Lytechinus pictus: one gene and its partners. The protein of the gene in region 2 binds, or shares a complex with, the protein of the main gene of each other region. Links are inferred from orthologs where the notes say so. Each region holds a gene or a part of one and is shown on either strand. Other genes may lie near its edges. The genes, in order: actin-related protein 3, actin-related protein 2/3 complex subunit 2-like and actin-related protein 2-A.

Evidence for each region.
Region 1: actin-related protein 2/3 complex subunit 2-like (region 2) and actin-related protein 3 share a complex: the UniProt entries of both Drosophila melanogaster proteins name them as parts of the arp2/3 complex. The link is inferred for Lytechinus pictus from reciprocal best matches to the Drosophila melanogaster genes Arpc2 and Arp3.
Region 3: actin-related protein 2/3 complex subunit 2-like (region 2) and actin-related protein 2-A share a complex: the UniProt entries of both Drosophila melanogaster proteins name them as parts of the arp2/3 complex. The link is inferred for Lytechinus pictus from reciprocal best matches to the Drosophila melanogaster genes Arpc2 and Arp2.

What each region holds. Positions count from the first base shown.
Region 1 is NC_087245.1:37,583,738-37,590,797, reverse strand, and holds the start of actin-related protein 3, read right to left. Parts: upstream 3,045-7,060; 5' UTR 2,852-3,044; coding exon 2,808-2,851; intron 779-2,807; coding exon 723-778; intron 66-722; exon of another isoform or gene 1-65. UniProt on the Drosophila melanogaster protein: Functions as ATP-binding component of the Arp2/3 complex which is involved in regulation of actin polymerization and together with an activating nucleation-promoting factor (NPF) mediates the formation of branched actin networks.
Region 2 is NC_087257.1:14,507,600-14,515,105, reverse strand, and holds the start of actin-related protein 2/3 complex subunit 2-like, read left to right. Parts: upstream 1-4,499; 5' UTR 4,500-4,662; coding exon 4,663-4,736; intron 4,737-7,506. UniProt on the Drosophila melanogaster protein: Functions as actin-binding component of the Arp2/3 complex which is involved in regulation of actin polymerization and together with an activating nucleation-promoting factor (NPF) mediates the formation of branched actin networks.
Region 3 is NC_087251.1:669,486-677,573, reverse strand, and holds the start of actin-related protein 2-A, read right to left. Parts: upstream 3,038-8,088; 5' UTR 2,184-3,037; coding exon 1,974-2,183; intron 1-1,973. UniProt on the Drosophila melanogaster protein: Functions as ATP-binding component of the Arp2/3 complex which is involved in regulation of actin polymerization and together with an activating nucleation-promoting factor (NPF) mediates the formation of branched actin networks.

The DNA of each region.
Region 1 (7,060 bases), on a different chromosome or scaffold from region 2:
CCCAGGTGAGGTAAATGGTACCTGGCAGGAATTTTATTCCTTAAAATGCAGTGTGCGTGAAAGCTGCTCTGCTAAAGGCAGAACTCCATTATTGTATAGTATTTAAAGACTTTTAATATAGTTTAAAAAAAAAACAGTAAGTAACCAAATATTATAACTAGAACTACCACTGAAGGTGATTAATACCCCCGCCACACGTCGTTACCAAGGCAAAAATTTCCAACAAATAGGAAAAATATGTCTTGCCTATTTTAACCACAAGACCAATGTCTGAGCTATCATGAGAATTGGTTAAAAACTGATGAAATAATTTGAACCGGAAAATTTGTACCTAATTTTAGACATATAATTTGTTGTTACAATGGCAATGCAATTTTCAACACGTATGTGTCTTGCACATCTTTACCCAATGACCAATTGGTTGAAAACTGAGAAAATGGTTTGATGCCCAAGATTGCAACTGACCGACTGTACACCGATTCCTACATGTATATACCCCCTTCAAACTTCGTTAAGCGAGGATATAACTATTTTTCTTATTAATATGAGCAAAAAATGCTCGCAATACAACAGATATTCCCAGAGAAAACAAAATTTCATTATCAATTCATTTCTTCTAAAGAGATTTATTGATGTTAGAATATATTGAATTGAATATGAATTCTTAACTAAGAAATAATATTTGTATTAATCCAGAATCTGATTTTTTTTTTTTGACTCACCTGATGGGAATATATACTGAGGTTCTGTGTTCCCAGCATATCCTAACTTTGTGTATCTGAAAAAGAAAGAAAAAGTTTTAACAAGTTCATTTATAATTCCATAAATTAATTCATTGGCATAAAATGCCTGGATAATATTAATACTTTTTACCCAGCCAACATGCTTATTCTATTACCAATATATATGCAGACCTGCCAACCTTCTATGAACCAAGAAGGAAAAAAAGTAATTTTTGGAAAAAAAAGTCTTTTTAAAAATTTGTCTCAATGTATGTTCTATCACCATCCTATTGTAGTGAGATCGGTGAAAAAACATGTGAATGACTACTTGAAAACTTGATAATTCACCCTTGTAAACATGTGCTCGTAGGCAAGAATTTACTTGTTCTTTTCATGCAACAAGTTACTGGCCCGACAGTGATTTTTACCAGTCTGGGACTGTCGGACCGGCGCTAGTGTCACGCCCTGTGTATAATACATGCTTCATGATTGGAAATTTTTTTTAAAGTAACAAATCATACAAAAAAGTATTGGTGTATTCATAGCAAAGAAAGAGGAACAAATACTCTGAATAGGGAATGGTTGGCATGCATGTATATGTCTATCCCAAGAAAAGTATTGGAGTTGGTTTCAAAAGTCTTGGTGATGTTTAAAGGGGAAGTTCACCCTGATAAAATATTGAAGGTTTGAAGAAAATCCATTGAAGATTAGGAAAGTTATTGGAATTTCAGGTATTTGATTTGTCACGTCATAAACAAGGAGCTACCCCATCTATGCTATGTAATATAAAATACATGAATTTTGTTCTTTTAATGGTTCGTGATGACATTTTTCTTTCTTTTTAGGACTGGGTGTGAAATCATTTGTGTATTGATATAATGAAGGTACAATAAAAACCATTTTCAAGTTTCTGAGTAAATGACATTTCATTGATTTTTATAACCATTCGATATGTAGGGAAGCTGCTTGCATACATGACGTCACATATCAAATGATTATAATTCTAATAACTTTATTCTTTGATGGATATTCCTCAAACATTCAGCAATATAATATATTTTTACAATAAACATACTGTCACGGTGAACTTCTCCTTTAATGAGTAAGAATGTAAGTTTACACTCAGCTGCTACCTTTATACCTTTAATGGCCATGCCCCCCCCAAAAAAAATTAAAAAGCAAAGGTCTAAATTAAAAAATAACCAATAGATGGCCCACAAAAAAATATGCTCAGAATTAAGTTTTTTAGATAATAAAAAATACTTGTGTCGGCCGATAAATATCATGAATTGTAAAATATGAAAGTGATTTTATGATATTTATTAGCCGATGCAAATATTTTAAAATCCATAATATTTATCGGCCAATGCAAGTATTTTTTTTCTAAGTTGGCACTGCTCATACGCGTCTGTATCTTTGGCTACGATAACAAAGACGGCAGGATGGCGACAATAACATCTGAGAGTATAGCTCATCTTCTTACATGATTTTTCTTCTTTTTAAAAATAATTTTTCGTGTAAAAAGAATTTTATTTTTTCCTAGTGGGGGTAAATGAAGTTGTAGACCATTTACATAAGTTTTATATTAGTAAGTTAAAGAGAACAAGTATTTTGGAGCAACATTGTTGTCTCCAAAATACTCGGTGTGTGTGGGCCTATACCGTCCGTCCCAGGCTCCATGGAAAGTAAGTCTACGTCAGTAAAATGACTGTTACTCTCCAGGCTATCCGAAACAGTCAGTAGATTTTTCATTTCAGTCAACAAATAAGTTAGAACTTAGTTTATAGATTAACCAAGTGAAACGACATGAACGATACTTTCGGCATGCCTTACTTTCTCTCACACAGATTCACACAAAATTTGGCATTTATTTTTATCTTACAAATTATATAGGCAAGTGTGATTTGTTGAGTTTCTTGAGGCTTGACTTTTTTACCAAACACCGACAAGGTTATCGGCCTACTATCGCTACCAACATGACCATCAAATGATCATCATTGAAATTTGAAAACGAAAAGATGGGAGTTGCCCTTTTTCTATCAGATTTTATAATTCGACAATACTATGAGAAGACGATTAACTTACCCTGTCCCAGGATCGATTACACAAGCAGGCATCCTAAAAGCCATGATTTATTTCTAGTTTGATCCACAACCTTCACAAAAGGGTGAATTTCAGGCCACTTCCCGAGCCTGACTCGCTGGAACGAATAACAGTGCACAAGGAACTAAGGCAAGGCGGAAGGCTTGTATTGTGTATCAGATCACATATGCACGCAAAGTGAGTTTCTTGCTTCCTGAATATCTCTTCGTCATCGTAGATGGGGCTATATAAAAAACAAGTTGATGACACGAAAAAAAAATGTGGATGACCCTCATCAGGAAGCCGACAGACCTATGATATATCAAGGAGCACATCCGCCCCGCCCCCTTCGAGAGGCACAAAATATTTTGGGGGGATAAGCTATGCATGCATACGCAAGTGAGGACCCTTTTTATTGTCAATTATTTTCCTGTAAAAAATGCCCCCTCCCCCTTTGGAAAATCCTGCATCCGCCCCTTCATCCGCTACTCGGGAATCGAACCCGAGCCCCCAGATTGGAACGCCGGTGGCTTAACCACTAGACTAGACCATAGAGACGGCTTCGGGTGCAAACCCGATCCGATTGACCATCAGATAAACAGATTCGGGTGTAAATGAGCTTTGAACAAGCCGCCATCCCTCAGCTGGATCAAAGCAAATGATTTGATACAGGAACGAATTATATGATTGTGGGAACGTGTGCATGGCATGCACAATATTCTGGTTTCTGCTTTATTATTATTTTGATATCGAGAGGTTTTAATAGTTTTCATTGTAATATCCATCCATATTTTTTTTATTGTTCGAAATAGAAATGAAATGAAATACTTCGAAAATTTGCTTTGCCCAATTGATCGTGGACCCGCTGTGCAGCGCCAGATCGACGATCGAGGCTCTGTCCCTTTAATCGTTGAACGCCAAACAGGGTAGCAGTAACTCCCATCTTTTAACGTCTTTTGGTCTAACGCGGCCGGGGTTTGAACCCCCGACCTCCCGGTTGTGAGACGGACGCTCTACCAACTGAGCCAATACACCAGTTGGCTCAGTTTAACATCCCCATACGGTTAAAATTGCTAAACAAACCCCGGAACAAACCTTGCATTAGTTATAATTGTTTACTATATTTATTTATTTATTTTTCAACCTGAGAGGGCATATTTGAAAATTAAAGTATTTATAGGGAGAAAAAAACGGGACAAAATACTTCCTGAAGGACAAGTCCACCCCAACAAAAAGTTGATGTTGAATAAAAACAGAAAAATCCAAAAATCATAACACTGAACATTTCATCAAAATCGGATGTAAAATAAGAAAATGATAATATTTTAAAATTTCGCTTCATTTCACAAAACAGGTGTTATATGCACGGTATGCAAATGAGGAGACTGATGACGTCACCCAATCATTTTTCTTTTGTATATTTTATTATATGAATTATTCTAATGTTGTCCTAACTGTCAAGTGAAACAAAATTCCTCCCTGAACATGTGGAATTAGCATTGCTTGATACTATATGGTTCAGTCAAGTTGGTCCTTATTGTCAAATCTGAAAAAAATGAAATATTGTATATTTCAAACAAAGAAACACAAAAGAAATATGGAGGGAGGGACATCATCGTCTGTCTCATCCGAATGTCACTGAATTGTGCATAAGTGCACTTTTTTGCGAAAAATAAGCGCAACTTAAAAAATGTAATAACTTTTTTTTATTTTACATCCGATTTTGATGAAATTTTCAGTGTTGTGCTTATTCTATTTTTCTCTATTTTAGATTTAGATTTATTTATTTCCGTTAAAAAAATGATATAATCGAAGTATTCATATTAACATTTTTCTGGGGTGGACTTAACCGGGTGATTAGGTCTATATTTCTTAAAGTTTTGGGTCAATTTTAACAAATCCACGTGCGCGACATGGTGTGTCTGCATGGCCCCCTTATTTGTAAAAGTTGTATTTTTTTTAAAGTTCCTGCTTGGGTTTACATATATCTGCACAATTTCGGTGAAATGCAGGTATACCGTGAAGATATAATTATTATTCGTTTATCATTAGAACCATTGCAATAATTTCTGACTGTTATAGAGTGGTATAGTGCTGACAAGTTTCATAAAAAAAGCACCCCGAAGTTCTTCCTCGTCATGAGTATTGTTTGACACTGAAAAATTTTCTGGCTAACTTTGCCTTTGATAGGGTCAGGTGTAAATTTCGTCAGAGCAGTGGTGGAAGGGGGGGGGGGGTTGATACCAATATAGAGAGCTGAAAATTCAAAACTGATATGACACCCATCATGACATAATCATGTTATATCATCCATCACGATATTTTTTTTTTTATGCTGTTCATTTTTTGTAATTATCTTGTTGTCATTAAACTTCAGAATTACATTTAGGCTGACCGTGCCTTCAGTTGAGTGAGCGAAGCTAGCGAGCGAATTTTCAGTCACTGTCCTAAACGACTCCCAGGGGAATTTATTATGGGATAGACTTAAGATTTGCCGCGAGCGAGCGACACAGTGAGTGAACCTTGTCGCTTTTCAGACGTTTGAAATAATGCAGGGGCGGCCATCCAGCCTTCGCAAATAGGGGGGGGGGGGCTGAATTTTTTCCAGCCATATTTTCCCCGATCGGCCGCTCGAAGATGATCTTTTGTTTGTTTCTTTGAAGGGGGTAGTCCTATAAGTAACTTGTTAGCTTTATTCTTTCAACATAAATGTATAATATCATAATCCTTATTTTATAATGCCAGCGCGAAGCGCGAGCAATATTTTTTTTAAATTGTATGTATTTTTTCCTAAACTTTGAACATTCTGAAAAAAAAAGATGTGCCTGCAATAATTACTACGAACGCGAAGCGCGAGCAGAAATTTTTGATACACGTTTTGAACTGATCGGAAAGGTAAGCCTACCTGTTAAAGACTGCTTGCAGTTAGCCATGAAGACGTTACATATTTCAACAATCAAAATGCGAGCGCGAAGGGCGAACTGACAAATTTTGACATTTCTACATAAAGAATGGAAAACTTTAATCAATTTTTGTAATCATGAGCAGGATAGCTATATAACTAAACAATTGATGCGAGTGCGAAGCGCGAGCGGAAAATTCTAGTTTTAGACCTATAGAACGGGACACTCTATTCATGTTTTGTAAAACATGAAAAGGATGAGTAAGAGGGGATCTTCCTTCAATAATAATGCGAGCGCAAAGCGAGAGCAGAAAAAGTTTGTATACGTTTTGAACTGATCGAAAAGTGCCTTTTAAGGACTGCTTGCACTTAGCCAGCATGAAGATGTTCAATATTTCAACAATTAAATAATGCGAGCGCAAAGCGCAAGCGGAAAAATTCTAGTTTTAAACCTAAAACGGGACACTCTATTCATGTTTTGTAAATCATGAAAAGGATGAGTAAGAGGGGATCTTCCTTCATCAGTGGCGTAGCTACGGGGGGGGGGGGGGCCTGGGGGGCACGTGCCCCCCAGGTGCCCCCCTGAAAAAAAATGGCAGAGCCAAAAAAAAAGTGAGAAAGAAGAAAAGAAAAAAGGAAAAGAAGAAGAAAGACAGAAGAAAAAAAAGAAGAGGAAAATAAGAGGAGGAAGACGAGTGAATGAAATAATGTGAGGGGAAGACTTGGAAAAAAAAATCCTTCATGTTACTATATAAAATTTTGCTTGCGCTTCGCGCCAGAATTGCCTGTTCGATGAGATAAGATAAGATAAGATTTATTTTATTTATACACGGTTAAAAAGCCCAAACAGTTCACAGACTGATTTCCATTGGGGCCGTGTGGAACATACAATTGACAAAGTAAACATTTTAAAATCAGTGTATAACGAACAATATATATGGAAAAGGAGCATCAATGAAATATTACAAGACAATCATTGAAACGTGAAGAGGAGGGGAGGAGAAGAAAAAAAAAGGAAGAAGAAGAAGGGAAAAGTGAGAGGGAGACGAAAAAGAGAAAAGACAACAGAGAAGATAACAGAAGAAGAAAAGAAGAAGAAGAAAAAGAATAATAATGATAGTAAGAAAAAGACGAAGAAATTATATACCGTTTTCAAAAACATCAATAATTTACAACATGAAATATCTATCGGTAAATTGGAACAAAGCGGTGCATACATGGTAATATTAAATGTGTACATGGTAAAGTAAAATGTCAAAGTAAATACATGTTTCTATAATGGACAAACAAGTACAAGAAAATGAATACAAGTCATGATTTATCAATGATAAAAACTAAACATACAAAAATGTCT
Region 2 (7,506 bases):
AATGAATAAATGCGAGTGCGAAACACGAGTTTTTGTTTTTGTTTTATATTATGTCATGTACATAGACCTGAAAACAGAAGATGCTCTTTAGTGTATAAATTTTGTAATTATTAAGCACGATGGGTCGGCTATCTAACCAAACAATATGAGACCATGAAGCACGGACTGACATAGGCCTATGTTAACCTAAAAATGGACTATTGAAGGATTGTTTGCATAAACTCATAATTTAAAACATTAACAACTATCTTTATAATTCTTAGAGCGCTAGCTGAATTTTTTTTATGTTTAGACCTGGAAAAGAAAAATTTTAAGGATTTAATTTTTTGCGTATAGTCATAAACAGGATGCAAATCCTATAAATTGGTGATACACTAACCTTAATGAAAAGGGGACACGTATCTCATTTATCAAGTAAACATAAAAGAGGCGTAATGAGCCATAAATTTTGAGCGGACAAGATATGGCGTATCGGGTAAAATTAATACAAAGTTATGAGAAGGCGAAGCAAGCGAAATTTTAACATTTTTATTGCAAAAAATCAATTTTGTGGTAGTGTTTGACTTAATATTAAACAAATGATATCATATTTCAGATTCTCTCTTTCCTTTTCTCCCTTTTTCTTGGTCGTGACCTTTTTTGTGGGGGGGGGGGGCCAAGCCCCCCCCCCCCATCTGTGCACCAGTAAGATATAATGTGAGTGAAAAAGTGCGATCTTCTATTTATTATTCATAGATCGGGGGGGGGGGAATTATTGACTGTTATAGAGAAATTCATTAAGATGATACAAATATCAAGCAAAAAAAAAAGGGGGAGACGAAAGAAGGAATAAGACAGTCTAGGTCTGCATGCCTGGGTCGTGTAAAATATGAGGTCACATTTAGGTTGCCCCCCCCCCCCCCCCCCCGTGTAGAAATATTCCCTAAGAGGAGACATTGAAAATGTTTTTTTTTAATTGGGGCTCATTTTATTCATTATATGTAAATTGTACGAGGAAGAGCAAAGACTAAAACGCATCTTTTCTCTCCGCGCCATCAACATCTGCGCACTTCCTGCCATGTCCCTGGGAAGCGGGGGGTGCTGGGGGTGCTGCATTGAAGCACCCCCAACATTTTCCTTGGGGTGCTGCGTGTATTATTCTCCAGAGGCAGCACCCCCAGGTTGTCCGGAAGATGTTTAAAAGTGGAAAATATAACCAAAATTACCTTTTAATAATGTAGTGAAATCCCCATTTTTTGCTTTGTTCTCCATATGTTGTTGTGAAAACTTTTTTTTTTTTTTTACTTTTCAAATTTACATCAGCACCTCCAGTAAAAACTGTGGGGGTATTGGGCAGCAGACCCAATACCCAGGCAAAGAAGAAGAAGAAGTAGGGCCTACCTCTCTCCCTTCTTCATGTTCTTGTTCATTGAGACCACATTACGACTGTTCGCGATCCGATTTTGGAACAAATCGCATTTTGCTCATTTTCTGAAAATGTGAATGGAACAAGTCATTTTATTTGAGGTTAAAATTAATTGAAAGAATACCAATATAACCATTTTGTAAGATTGTAAGCCTTTAAAGGCCAAATTTGTTTCAAATCGTAGCAAATCGTACGACTGCTATGACGTCATTACGACTAACGTTATTAAACATTCTAGGAATTAAGGATGATAGCATAGTCACATATTTGAATATAGGGATTCGTACGATGATCTCGAACATATATTACACAGTAAGATATTCCAAGTCTCAATATTAGCATCGAATTCTGCTACGTTTTATTCCAAAATTGAGTCGCAGACCAATCGCAAGGTGTGCGGTCGCCTTTATAATGGTGAGTGGTGAATTATCGGATGGTCTAATACCACTTAGTCTACTTATCAGTTCGTCCAACTTCACATAGTCTAAACTCATTTCGTCTAAAACCAGTTCGGCTAATATCCAATTCGTCTACTTCCCCGCGCACTTGGTCTAATTTTCATTTCGTCTAATTTTCATATGGTCGAATGACCGTTTGGTCTAATTTCCACTTGGTCTAATATCCACTTGGTCTAATGACCACTCGGTCTAATAGCCAAATGGTCTAATGACCACTTGGTCTAATAGCCAAATGGTCTAATGACCACTTAGTCTAATAGCCGAATGGTCAAATGACCACTTGGTCTAATAGCCAAATGGTCTAATGCCCACTTGGGCTAATCGTCACTTGGTCTAATTTTCATTTGGTCTAATTCACACTTGGTCTACTGTCCATTCATTCTTATATAACATCATTCATTATTATTCATTTGATCTAGAATTAACAAATATATTAATGGATAAATAAATACACCATGCATCAGTTAATACATGCCGCCAGGATCCGGAGGGGTAGAGCCGCGGGGTAGGGCTGGTGGGCGCTGGAGGACTATCGATGAATTATTCCAATGAATCATTCTAATCAAATATAATTCTCATAATTAGGCCTATACATGTATATCGATTATATAGATGATGGTGAAAATTATATCAAACTCATAATCATTATCACCTCATGTACATTTTACAGAACAATATAAGTTGGGACCTTGTACTATAGCTTCTTATAATGGTCGAATGGCGGGGTTTCATCAGAATAGCATTATTATGAAGAAAGGAACGAAAATATAATGCAATTGATTGTGTGGATACGTATCAGGTTAACATGTTTATGCCTCTTATACCAGTTAGATATAGTTTAATAACACTATACACATACAGGTTTATTGGGTTCCATCTTGGTAGCAGCCATTTCTCGATTCTAACCTTCTTCGTATAAGTGGTCACGTGTAATAACATAGTATAGTCTACGCTTGCAGGCCTGTATCAGTTATCATCACAGTAGTCAGTCATTATCTACTCATTGGCCCGTATTCTGAAGTCGGGTTTAACTTAAACTCAGGTTTAAAGTTGTGGTTTAAGTATGGCGAGCCAATTGTTACATAAATTACTAACTGTAGAGATATCATACTTCAGCTCATTTGGCTCTCAAATAATTCATACATGTGTAATTGTCTAGGAAGTATAAAAAGATTATTGGCTTCACCATCGATGAATCAGGAAAGAGCACAGTAAACATAAGAAACATACAACTTAATGACAAATTTGATACTATTGGCTATTCCCATACTTAAACCACAACTTTAAACCTGAGTTTAACTTAAACCCGACTTCAGAATACGGGCCATTCTGTTTTTTGTTTGTTCTTCTTCTCCTCCTCCTTAAAATGGATTGACAGGGTTAATTCCCAGCCCATCAGGGAAATCAAGAAAATCAGGGATTTTAAAAAACATTTTTCCAGTCAGGGAAAAATCAGGAAATTACCTCAAATCAGGGGAAAATCATATAAATGAGGGCAAAATCAGGAAATTTTGATCGGCCCAAAAGTCGAAAGCACGATAGTCCGTCAGACTCTGTTATATTTTGTTGTATATATATCAAAACAATTTATTGAATGACAGGTTATGGTGTTCTTTTTTTTTAGTGTAGCCTCTTTTACTACAGTACAAGTACTGGTACATATGATTAAAAATGATAATACATGCTATTAACAAACAATATACGTAATCAACTGCATCATCTTAGAAAACATGAGAAACTGGGAATGGGTTTGAATAATTATCAGGAAATTTTAAAACCTTATTTTTCCACCTCTATGAACGTATATTAGCGTTTAATATTTCACAGAAAAATAGAAAATTTTATTGTTTTTCACCAAAACCTTCAAAAAATCCCCATTAACAGACAAAAGAAAATCCCCCAATATTTTTTTTAATCCCCATATTTTCAAAATTTGGGGATGGAAATATACCGTCGTCACTCTAACTGTACTCCAACATCGAGGGGCGCACGTGTGAAGCTTCGAAGCCGGCGCGCGGAAAGTAACTTTAAGATTTTCACCAGAAAATTGATAACAAGTCACTAAACTTTACAAATTAGACCAAGTGGCATGTAGACGAAATGAATGTTAGACTATCTGGAAATTAAACAAAGTTGAAATTAGCCGAAGTGGAAATTAGACCAAGTGGAAATTAGCCGAAATGGAAATTAGACCAACTGCACATTAGACCAACTGAATAATGGACCAAGTGAGGATTAGACCAACTGCACATTACACGAACTACAATATAGACCAAATGAATAATGGACCAAGTGAAGATTAGCCCAACTGGGCATTAAACCATTTGGCTATTAGACCAAGTGGTCATATACCAATTGGCTATGAGACCAAGTGGTCATTAGACCAATTGGCTATATATAGACCTTAAGTGGTCATTATAGACCACTTGGCTATTAGACCAAGTGGTCATTAGACCAATTGGCTATGAGACCAAGTGGTCATTAGACCAAAAGAGAATTGGACTAAGTGCATGGGTAATAATAGTCTGAATGTTGTTAGCCCATCTGACGATTAGACCAAGTGATATTAGACCAACCGTCAGTAAACCTTTATAATCACCCCCTAGCAAAAATAAAGGACTTATCGCCCTCTCGTCAGTAGAGGGCAGCAAACACAACTTGTTTTCACTTCCTTCTATTTCTCTCTCGCACAAACGTGAAGTCGAGCGTCGCCCACCTTGAGAAAAAACACCTTTTTTCCCCGGAAAGTGCTGGAAGAATCTGAAAAGTTCTATTGGGTACTGGAGACACAGCATCAAGATGATTTTATTAGAGATAAAGAATAGAATAATCGAAGAGACACTTCTAAATAAATTCGAAGCAGCGGTAGCCGGGTGAGTAAGGAAGTGATTTGGGAATGGGTTGCCTCCCATCTTTGTGCGTACACTGGGGTCACGGTCCCATTCTGAGAGAGTCGTGTTGTAGGAAGTGTAACTACACTGCTCGTAGACTGTACTCTGTAATCTGTATGTGTCTAGATCAGCCATTCTCAATTACTTTTTTTGAAGCGCCACATTTCTTGTTGAGTATCTGTAGTGCGCCACTATATCCATTACACCAGCAAAGTATTTTAGAAGGGGTCTAGAGGCCCTTGGTGGGGGTCGAGGGGGCAGAGCCCCCAGAAGTTTTTGAATGTTAGGCCTTTTAGATTGCCCAGAGGGGCTTTAATTAATATCAACAGAAGAAATACGAATGCCAACAAACTACACATTATATTTATCAAAAGAAAAATGATTAGTGACTTTTTCACAACATACCAATGAAACAACTAGTTCAGACTGTTCTGCAACAGATCTATTGGCTGAAGCAAGTGGCGTAATGAGTAAAAAGAAAATGAGGGGGCTAAATATGGCAGCTGAAGCAAAAATGTTGAGCTTTTCAATACAAAAATCTATATTTTGACATAATATTAAGAAAACAATACAATATTCAACTCTTTCCCTTTCCTTTTCTCCCCTTGTCCTTGAAACACTAGGGGGCCCCAATCCCCACCCCAATCTGTACGCCAGTGGCTGAATTTACAGTCCCTGATTTTCAATGGGCCGAAAATTAGGCGTTGCACTGCACTAACGCCAAAAATTGCCCCCCCCCCTCTCTCTCTACAACTCGTGTTAAACAAGAGTACATGCAGGCAATCGTGGCAGGCAATACATCGAGCATATTTCACTTTTACAACTTCGGATTTTAATCGGCTTCGGAAAACAAAGTTTCTGCTTGTTATGTCCCTAATGGCCTAATTCATTATCTTTTATTATCAGGATGTCCTTTGAATATCATATCATTTCATATTTAACTCTTAAGCAAAACGTATACTCAGGAAATGCAAAATTACTCGCCGTAGAAATAGAAATCCTACAAGCGGGGCTTTCAAATCACTTGTGTGGCACATAAACTTTGTAGCATAGAATAAATAAAAAGAACACCATCGATCCTCCATTATAAGGATTATCGAGTGCTAAATTTGACAAAATTTGAGGAAATCAATAAGTACTTAAGTTTCAAGTAAAGATTTTTTGCTTTCTTTTTGTATTAAAATGATCACCAAATCCTCATGTTACTGGTATACATTTTTCTCCCCAATTTTTCCTTATTTTTTTTATACCGGCTCCCAAGCGCCACTCCACAAGGCTCGGTGCGCCACCATTTGAGAATTCCTGGTCTAGATCTAACGTTAGATCTACCAGTATAGTCACGTATTGTATTACCGGACACTATTATGATTCCGGACGCGCATATTACTGCGTTCTAAAACAAATTTGTACCGTAAGACTTCCGCAATTCGATTTCACAGAGCAATACATAGAACAAGATTGCAAAAACAAGGCAAAAAATCCAACTTTTACCTAATTATCTCTAAAAATGAAAGAAAATGCTTAAAATATCATATAACGTAGTTTTGTATTAACAATTGATATATTTTCTAACGGAAATATGGGCCTGATTTTGCCGAATTTCAATCTCGTCCACTCCTTCGATCGAATGATGAGGTGTGGTGAATTGTGGGTGATCATCGGTGGCTAGTTCTCAAGGGTTCCGGGACAGCCCGACCACCGGACAGCCCGACCCTGGACAGCCCGACCCGCTGCCCTGGACAACTCGTCCCGGTCGAGTTGTCCAGGGTTGGCTCTGAATCGGACAACTCGACCACTTGAATTCTTCTTCAACATTTCAGGTGAAGATTGAAAATGGTCTGATTTGCTTTATCAGAAGAGGTGCAGACTGCAGAACTTCAAATGTTATATGTTAAATTTTCTGTCGAGAATGTATTGTAGAAACATGGATTATGCGGGAAAATACTTTTGAAGTAAAGTTTGAAATTTTATTTCATGAAATGTTGAAGAAGAATTCAAGTGGTCGAGTTGTCCGATTCAGAGCCAACCCTGGACAACTCGACCGGGACGAGTTGTCCAGGGCAGCGGGTCGGGCTGTCCAGGGTCGGGCTGTCCGGTGGTCGGGCTGTCCGGACCCCGTTCTCAAGGTACCCGTGCGCGAGGTTTACCGTGAGTAGAGCCGTCGGCAGCGTATCGATAGAACTTGATAAGCGTCACGATACGAACGCGAGCATATTATTATTGGAAAGTGCCATGGAACATGCAGCTAACAAGACAAAATAGATAAGTTATCAAACACAAATTTATTACCAACATCTGCTCAGATTCGATATAAAAAAAAACAAATAATACTTAGAATTTACTCATGATATGATATAAGAAGAAAAAAATCACACAAATTTGCTCTTACATCATTATAATCAAGGATATCTTTACCCGTCCGGCGCGCGTCCGGAATCATGATGTAATTTGTCGCGCACGAAAATAATTGTTTTTCGTGGAGGGGTATGCGGCAAGTGCGATGCAAAGAAAATTGTTGGTAAATATAAAATAATTTTATCATATTCATAATTTTCATAATATTTGGAATAGCGGGTGTGAATTTTTCTTGATTGTATTTCCTCTAGTTGTCATTTTTAAAGCACTGAAATAAAGGTGTCCGGCAATAGGATACACTGCCATACCACGACTTTTACTAGGCTGAGTTGATAGTTTAGTTAAGTGTGTGTGTGCAGGAGAAGGTAGACAATGTTAGATTATATTAAACTTTAGG
Region 3 (8,088 bases), on a different chromosome or scaffold from region 2:
AACTGCACAAAAACTTCAGGAGGTAAAGAAAATGTGATATACCTTTGTCATGACTAAAAATACATACTCCGTGTTATTACTTCCTTATTCATATTGAAGCTATCATAGGAATGCAGCTTAGCTTACTACCAATAATGAAAGAAAAATAATGCTCCATAGTGCTATACAACTCATCATTTTATCTGACTTCCTTGTTGCACAGATCCTTCCTTTTTATATCACACTTCTCTATTTGAGCTTTCCTATGCTACACTGCATACTTTTTTTGCACAAAGATATTACATGTAAACATCATGAAACATTATCTCAAAATCTCATAGTTCTATAAAAACGTTATTATTTCATCAAAAAGAATTTTCCGTAATTGCTATCTCTACTGCATCTCTATACATAACAAGGCAAACGCCAAGCGTTGTCTCCCTGCATATTGCAGTCATGAAGAGACTGCATGTCAAAACTATGCTATATGACTTAGATGGACCTCTGTTACAAGTTTGGCGATCCCACCTCAAAGCTATAGAAAGTTATTGTGTGTACAACACAGCACAGTGCCAGTCATGGAAAGTTCATTGACCTTTGACCTTAATCAAATTCAACTCACATTTGAACTTGACCTGCACCTTCAAGAGATGGACCTCTTGTATGAATTTGGAAATCCTACCTCGAAGATATAGAACGTTATTGTGTGTACAGCACAGCAGTGCCAGTCATGGAAAGTTCATTGACCTTTGACCTTATTCAAATTCGGCTCACATTTGAACTTGACCTGCACCTTCAAGAGATGGAACTCCGTTATGAATTTGGCGATCTCACCTCGAAGCTATAGAAAGTTATTGTGTGTACAACACAGCACAGTCAGTCATGGAAAGTTCATTGACCTTTGACCTTATTCAAATTCGACTCATATTCGAACTTGACCTGTACCTTCAAGAGATGGATCTCTGTTATGAATTTAGCGATCTCACCTCGAAAGCTATAGAAAGTTATTGTGTGTACAACACAGCACAGTGCCAGTCATGGAAAGTTCATTGACCTTTGACCTTATTCAAATTCGACTCATATTCAAACTTGACCTGTGCCTTTAGGAGATGGACCTCTGGTATGAATTTGGTGATCCCACCTCGAAGATATAGAAAGTTATTATGTGTACAACACAGCAGTGCCAGTCATGGAAAGTTCATTGACCTTTGACCTTATTTAAATTCGACTCATATTCGAACTTGACCTGTGCCTTCAGGAGATGGACCTCTGGTATGAATTTGGTGATCCCACCTCGAAGATATAGAAAGTTATTATGTGTACAATACAGCACAGTGCCAGTCATGGAAAGTTCATTGACCTTTGACCTTATTCAAATTCGACTCATATTCGAACTTGACCTGTGCCTTCAGGAGATGGACCTCTGGTATGAATTTGGTGATCCCACCTCGAAGATATAGAAAGTTATTATGTGTACAACACAGCACAGTGCCAGTCATGGAAAGTTCATTGACCTTTGACCTGTACCTTCAGGAGATGGACCTCTGGTATGAATTTGGTGATCCCACCTCGAAGCTATAGAAAGTTATTGGGTGTACAACACAATTGTTGATACCTACATGTATGTCTCGCTCCGCTAAGCAGGCAAGACAATAAAAACTAATTAAACCAGTGTTGAGTCATAACGGTCATTTTTGCAAACCTGGTCCCAATTGTACTTCCCCAATAAAGACCCCATGTACCACAGAAAAAAAAACTTCACTGGTTTAGATCAAATATATCAAAATAATATTCTACTATTGACATAGAAATTTCACATATTAAATCTTATACCTTACATGAATGATATCCAACTACATGTATGAAAAGATGATTTCAGCACAGGATTTCTCATTTTTCTCTCCTGTTAGGTGCAGGTAACCATATATGTTAAAAAATTCACTCAATCTTTAAATGTTAGCCAGTAAGTTCATAAGTTGATAGAAAATGCTTACCTCAACCATCTTTTCTCTATTCTTGGCTGGATTCATGGGTGGTTCGGTGAGTAGAAGTTTGCTTTCTTTTGGATTAATGGCCAAACTTTGTTCACCAAAGGTATAGTCCCATACATGCTTCATATCGTCCCAATTCCTAACAATACCATTTTCCATTGGATAGTTGACTTCAAGCATAGACCGAAGCTGACTTGCTTCATCACCAACCATTAGATCCTATAAAACAATCCAGAATTATTTACAAATTACAAATTAAATACCAAATCCAATTGATAGTTGAAGTTTTAAATCTCTAACATCATCCTGGTTGATTCATAATGTGTCCTTGACCGAGACTTGTAAGAAAAGACTTATTTCTGGGTGAACAAGTCATCCACTGGGCCTTAAGGAGCCTGACTTGGATTTATCATGTTAACCGTTGTTTCCGGCCTGTGAGGCGGAGGCCAAATGAATGAAACACGTACCATAGAAGGGAATGCATCGGTCCCATGATGTACATGTAATTAAGCATTGAAAGTGTGGATTGGCGCATTGGCATGCTCATGAATTATTCAGAGCAAGCAGTGAAATCCAGGTTCAAAAGGCCTATTGACTTCACTCGTGACTGAAACTTGTGACCTTTTGACTTTCAATCTCACGTTTACCCAGATTTTGCCAGCTCTCTTCTTCAACCCCTTGTCTCGTTTCAGCCACTACTTGGCAAAGAATATTACCAAGTCATGGGGCCTTGTCAAAAGGCTATGCCTGATAGAACACCCTTCAATGTCTTTGTTTCTCATGTTGAACAACAGTACAACACACACACAGTAAAATGTTTGTCACACCAGTCAATTAATGCATGGTTTCTTGAAAGAGAAAGATAATTTCTAATGTTTAACCATCGAATTACAAGATGTGGTCTTGATTTACCCATATTGCATAATGATTCCATCTAAAAGCTAACACAAAAGTTCTTTCCTAAAATTAAAACAAAAGTGACCCCAAAACAAAAGTTTAAAATGAATATATTCTATACTGTATCCTTGTCTTATCCATTAATATAAGGGTTGATTTACAATTAGGGTATACTTTCCAAAAGCGGCTTCCTGCGCATCATAAAATGAAATAAGATTAGTTATCTCAAATCTACAATGGCAAGCTACTGGGCACTATCAAAGTAACCTGTAAAAGGAAAGAAAATTCATGAAATACATGATTTACTTCCAAATTTTTTTTTTTTAGGGCAAAAATTGCTGTCTCATTTTGTTCCCCTTATTGTGAGCCCACACATCTCTTCTATTAGTAATCAATGTTAGGCATTGTTTTACCAATCAAGATTGATTATTGAAATTCTAAAAAGTTATTGCCTATTTGATTTTTGTTTGTGACTTAACCGAAAATGGGGTGCCAATTCTGTCCTCTCTGTAGTTAGCATAGTTAGACATTACTTGATTAATGTTTGTTTTTTGGTATATAAGAATACCAGTACTTGTCCATACATGGGCATTTTCACGGTAGCTGACGTTACATGGCACAATTTAGCACACTTTTCATTGTGTGTATGTTTATCTCTAAAACAACAAATGATGGGAGTTTGCTTGGTCATGTGACCTGAAACTTACTCAGGATGTTCAGGGATACTTAATTACTCTTATGTCTACATGTAAGTTTCATGAACTAGATCCATTAAATTTCAAAGTTATGATTACAATTCTACAAATACCCCCAACATGGTCAAAGTTTGTTGACCCCAAGTGACCTTTGACCTTGGTTATGTGGCCTGAACCTTAGGCAGGATGTTCAGTAATTCTTGATTACCCCTATGTCCAAGTTTCATGAACTACATGTAGGTCCATATACTTTCTAAGTTATGATGACATTTCAAAAACTTAACCTTGGTTAAGATTTTGACGCCGCCGCTGCCAGAAAAGCGGCGCCTATAGTCTCACTCTGCTATGCAGGTGAGACAAAAACTGGAACTGACAATTTAAATTTTTGAATAACTTCAGTTTATAGCCATGTTTAAAATCACAGCAAAACAAACAGCCATGCACACAAAAACCAAACATACACCTGTTCATATAGCACCAATTTGCAAGCTCCATTTTTTAAATATCATTCAAGATTAATAGACAATTTACTTACAAATTAAATATTTCAGAAGTGAATACTGTATAAGCTGTTATTTTCGCGGGGGGTTTTATTTTCGCGGATTTCGCGAATTGCCGATCGGCCGCAAATTTAACAACACGTGAGAATATTGACACACTTCTTAGTCAGTGCCAATGTCCCTAACAGTAAAGCTTTGCTACTGAAGACATCCTGTGTATATAGTGAATTGTGCAGATATGCACCTCTATATGTACAAAAAATAAGGCTAAGAAAGTACAGTTAGTGATTCAAAAAGTTAGCTAGAATTTCACTTTTTTAAATTTCTGAAACAAAATCAGAGCCTAAACTATTTTCTAACATTATTTTATCAATATTTATTCACTCACTGTATTATTAAAATGTATTTTCCATGAAATAATTTGATTTTATTGTCATCTGATTGACTATACACACGTATTGGCAGCTCATTAATATTCATAAGTCACATGACCAGAGCTTTTAGAGGTGAAGATTCTGTTCACAAAATTCCACATTTTTGCACTTTTATCAACTTTTTGAAAAAATGAATCGAACAAAACACAAATTCCAAAGATTGCTTAACCCTATGGATTACAGATCAAACTGTGGCATGATGAATTTTCAGATCTAAAGGTAAAAAAATGAAATTTAAGTCACCTTTTCCACAGTTTGCAACTGTTTTTACAGGGACATATTTTTTGTACAAAACACACATCAGCATATTCAAAAGAGTATCGATTAGTACATAATTTGTATTAGCTTTGCTTCTTTGAAATGTTGTGGAAGTATGTTGTGGAAGTTCTTGCACATCTTCCGATCGCGAATTTAACAACCCGCGAAAATATCGGGACCCCCGCGATTCGCGAAAAATTCTGTACGCGAAAATAACAGCTTGTACAGTATTCAAATGGAAATAGAAAAGATGACATACATGTATTGGTAAAAGAAGCTGTTTTCTTTTGTATATAATCGTATACCATATGATAATATATATATATACAGGGTGCGACAAAACCGCTTGCCCGGGGCAAGTGAAAATGACGTGCGGGCAAGCATTTCTCAAAGTCAATTGCCCGATCGGGCAAGTGGTTGTTTTGGAAATAATATATCAGTATAGACCCTCAATATATCTTTTGGATAATCACAACTATCTCTCAGATTATGTCAAACCAGTAAAAAAAAAGGTGGAAACTGATGTAAAATCACCGCCAATTACCAATAATTTATCGCTAGGTACCTCGTTCGAAAAACCGTGCCATCACATCTTACGTTCTATGTGTGCAATGACTGCGCATGCGCTTCTATCTTGTGCAGTTTGCCGATGCACACCAAAAAAAAAAAAAACCACCAGAAGTGGCTAAAATTTCACATTTTGCAAGAATCCATGAAATGGCCATCTATTTTCCATATTACTTTGAAATTGTTTTGATTTAGTTGGAAACTACTGAAAAATTAAGAATATTCAGCTCTTTCTTTACTCTGATTTATGATGTTACACTCGGTAAATGTTTTTTATTATTGTGTTCCCACATGTAGACTCTCATGGTGTTGACCAAGTGTAAAACGATCAAACGATACGATCAATGATCAATGCTGCAACACCATGAAAAAAAAACCCATGAAAGTCTACATGCTGGACTACAATAAAAAAAATATTGACCGAGTGTAACATCATAAAATGATGAAGAAAAGTCAAGAGAGAGGTGAATATTCTTAATTTTCTTGATAGTTTTCCAACTAATCTAAAAAAGAAATTCAAGGAAATATGGAAAATAAATGACCATTTCATGGATTTAAAGATGCAAAATGTGAAATTTTAGCCACTCCACTTTTCATTTTTTTTTTCAAACATCATAAAACGATCTTTTTCAGAGTCAATAAAGAGCTGAATAATTTTCACTGGCTTTCTTTATAGTTTCCAACTAAATCAAAACAATTCTAAGGAAATATGGCAAACAGATAACCATTTCGTGGATTTAAAGATGCAAAATATGAAATTTTAGCAACTTTTGGTGAAGGTTTTTTTTTTAACCTTAAATTAAGCCCCATTTATAAATAGTGAAAAAAAAATTCAAAATAAACGTGATGACTCAGTCCTACGTTGCCGAAAATAAACTTTTAAATGTGTGTTCTTTTATACTGTACATGATTCTCAATTGTTGTTATTTTGTATGACCTTTCAAAATAAGGGTAGTGCCATCATAATGAAAAAAAAATTATAAAACAAATAGGGCAGTTTTTTCTATCGGGCAAGCAAATTTTTTCATCACTTGCCCGACAGGGCAAGTGACAATTTTTTCTTTTGTAGAGGCCTATATATATATATATTCAAATTAGGGCTGAATCAAAATGTTAAAATGCCATTCAAGTGCCTGCTTAAAGCATATTATCGGTACTGTTTTGTTACTTTAACCATTTGACCGTGTGGCGAAAAGAAATTCATATCCATGAAATGCCCATATATTGTCAATGGAATTATATTTAAATAAGTTGGAAAATACCAAGAAAATTAAGAAAATTCCCTCCCACCTTGACTCTGGAAGATCAATTTCTGATGTTAAACTACTATTACTATATGTATACATGTTGTCTGCATGATTAAATTCTGGTGAAGCCAAGAAAATTTGTCATTCTTACAGGCATACAAATGTATCGAATGCCAGCCAACTGAATATCCAATTAACATGTTATAGAATCATCGAGTTATATGTCCATGTATATGGATTTATGGACTTATAGAGTATATATGGATTTATGATTTGGGTCTCCTTTCTAAACTTACAGTTTATGCAATCAGATCTATTTTGAATCTGATGAGGTACTTTTAAAATTAATTTCCAGAAATTACAAGGAATAATCTTCGCTTTCCTGGTAGATCAATACCAAATAAAAAATACTCGACAGGCAATTCATATGTGAAATTTAGGGACAGTGATTTTCCGTTTCAAAAAATTGCCTTTTCCGTTTCAGAAAATCTCAAATTCCGTTTCAGCATGTCAGAAAACGGAAATTCCGTTTCCCCATAGACTTTGTACACACGGAAAAGTGACAATTCCGTTTACACATTGAATACCGTACACTCGCACTGGTCAAAATTTGTATCTGCTACTGTACCAACAACACAATAGAATCCGTTCTAATCGGATCTATGCGGGTGCAAAAAATATTTTTCCAACCCCATTTAGCATGCATACATCCTCACCTTTCACATTATTACCATTATTTCACGGTGAAATGATATTTCATCGATAATTTTGGGGTTTTTTGGACATCGTTATCATCAGTCAACGGCTTTTGCCAATCCGCCATCTTGGATTTTAAGACCACGATATCGTGCTGTTACATCTTCAAACGTAGAGGGCAGCAACACACGACCGTGCAGTGAACGATATGTGTGTGCATGTGAAGCCCAACCGACCCGGCGCCGGCAGGGTACGGGTACAGTGCGGGGTACAATCAAGTGTGCTGATGTCGAGTGCAGTCACGATGTGTGAATTGTCATGAAAGTAGCGAAGTGAGATCGTGTTTTCTGGGGTTTTGTGGCCATTTAATATTCTCATTTTGTTGTGATTTTGGAGTAATTTCTGTTGCTATTCTGTGTATTTTGCGGGAAAATACGTTTTCCGTGATTTTCCGTTTGAAATGACACTTTCCGTTTCAAAACACCCTTTCCGTGAATTCCGTCCGTTTTCCGCGATCGCGGAAAATCACTGTCCCTAGAAATTTGAATATTCAACAAGTTTTGGAAAATGTTATGACTTAAGTTTACAATTAATTATTTCCACACTTTAGTATCCACTTTCATCTTTTGACCAGTCAATAATGTACTTGCTAAAAATGCTAGGGAATTCTACTTGAAAATGATAAAAATACATGTATGCTTAAGGAGTTGATAAGGGAAAAGGTTTGGAATATGTAGTAATACTAATGTGAAAATGAAAATTCATTAAACTTGAGGACATTTTAAAAGCATGTACATGTACAATGAACATAAACACCATAACCT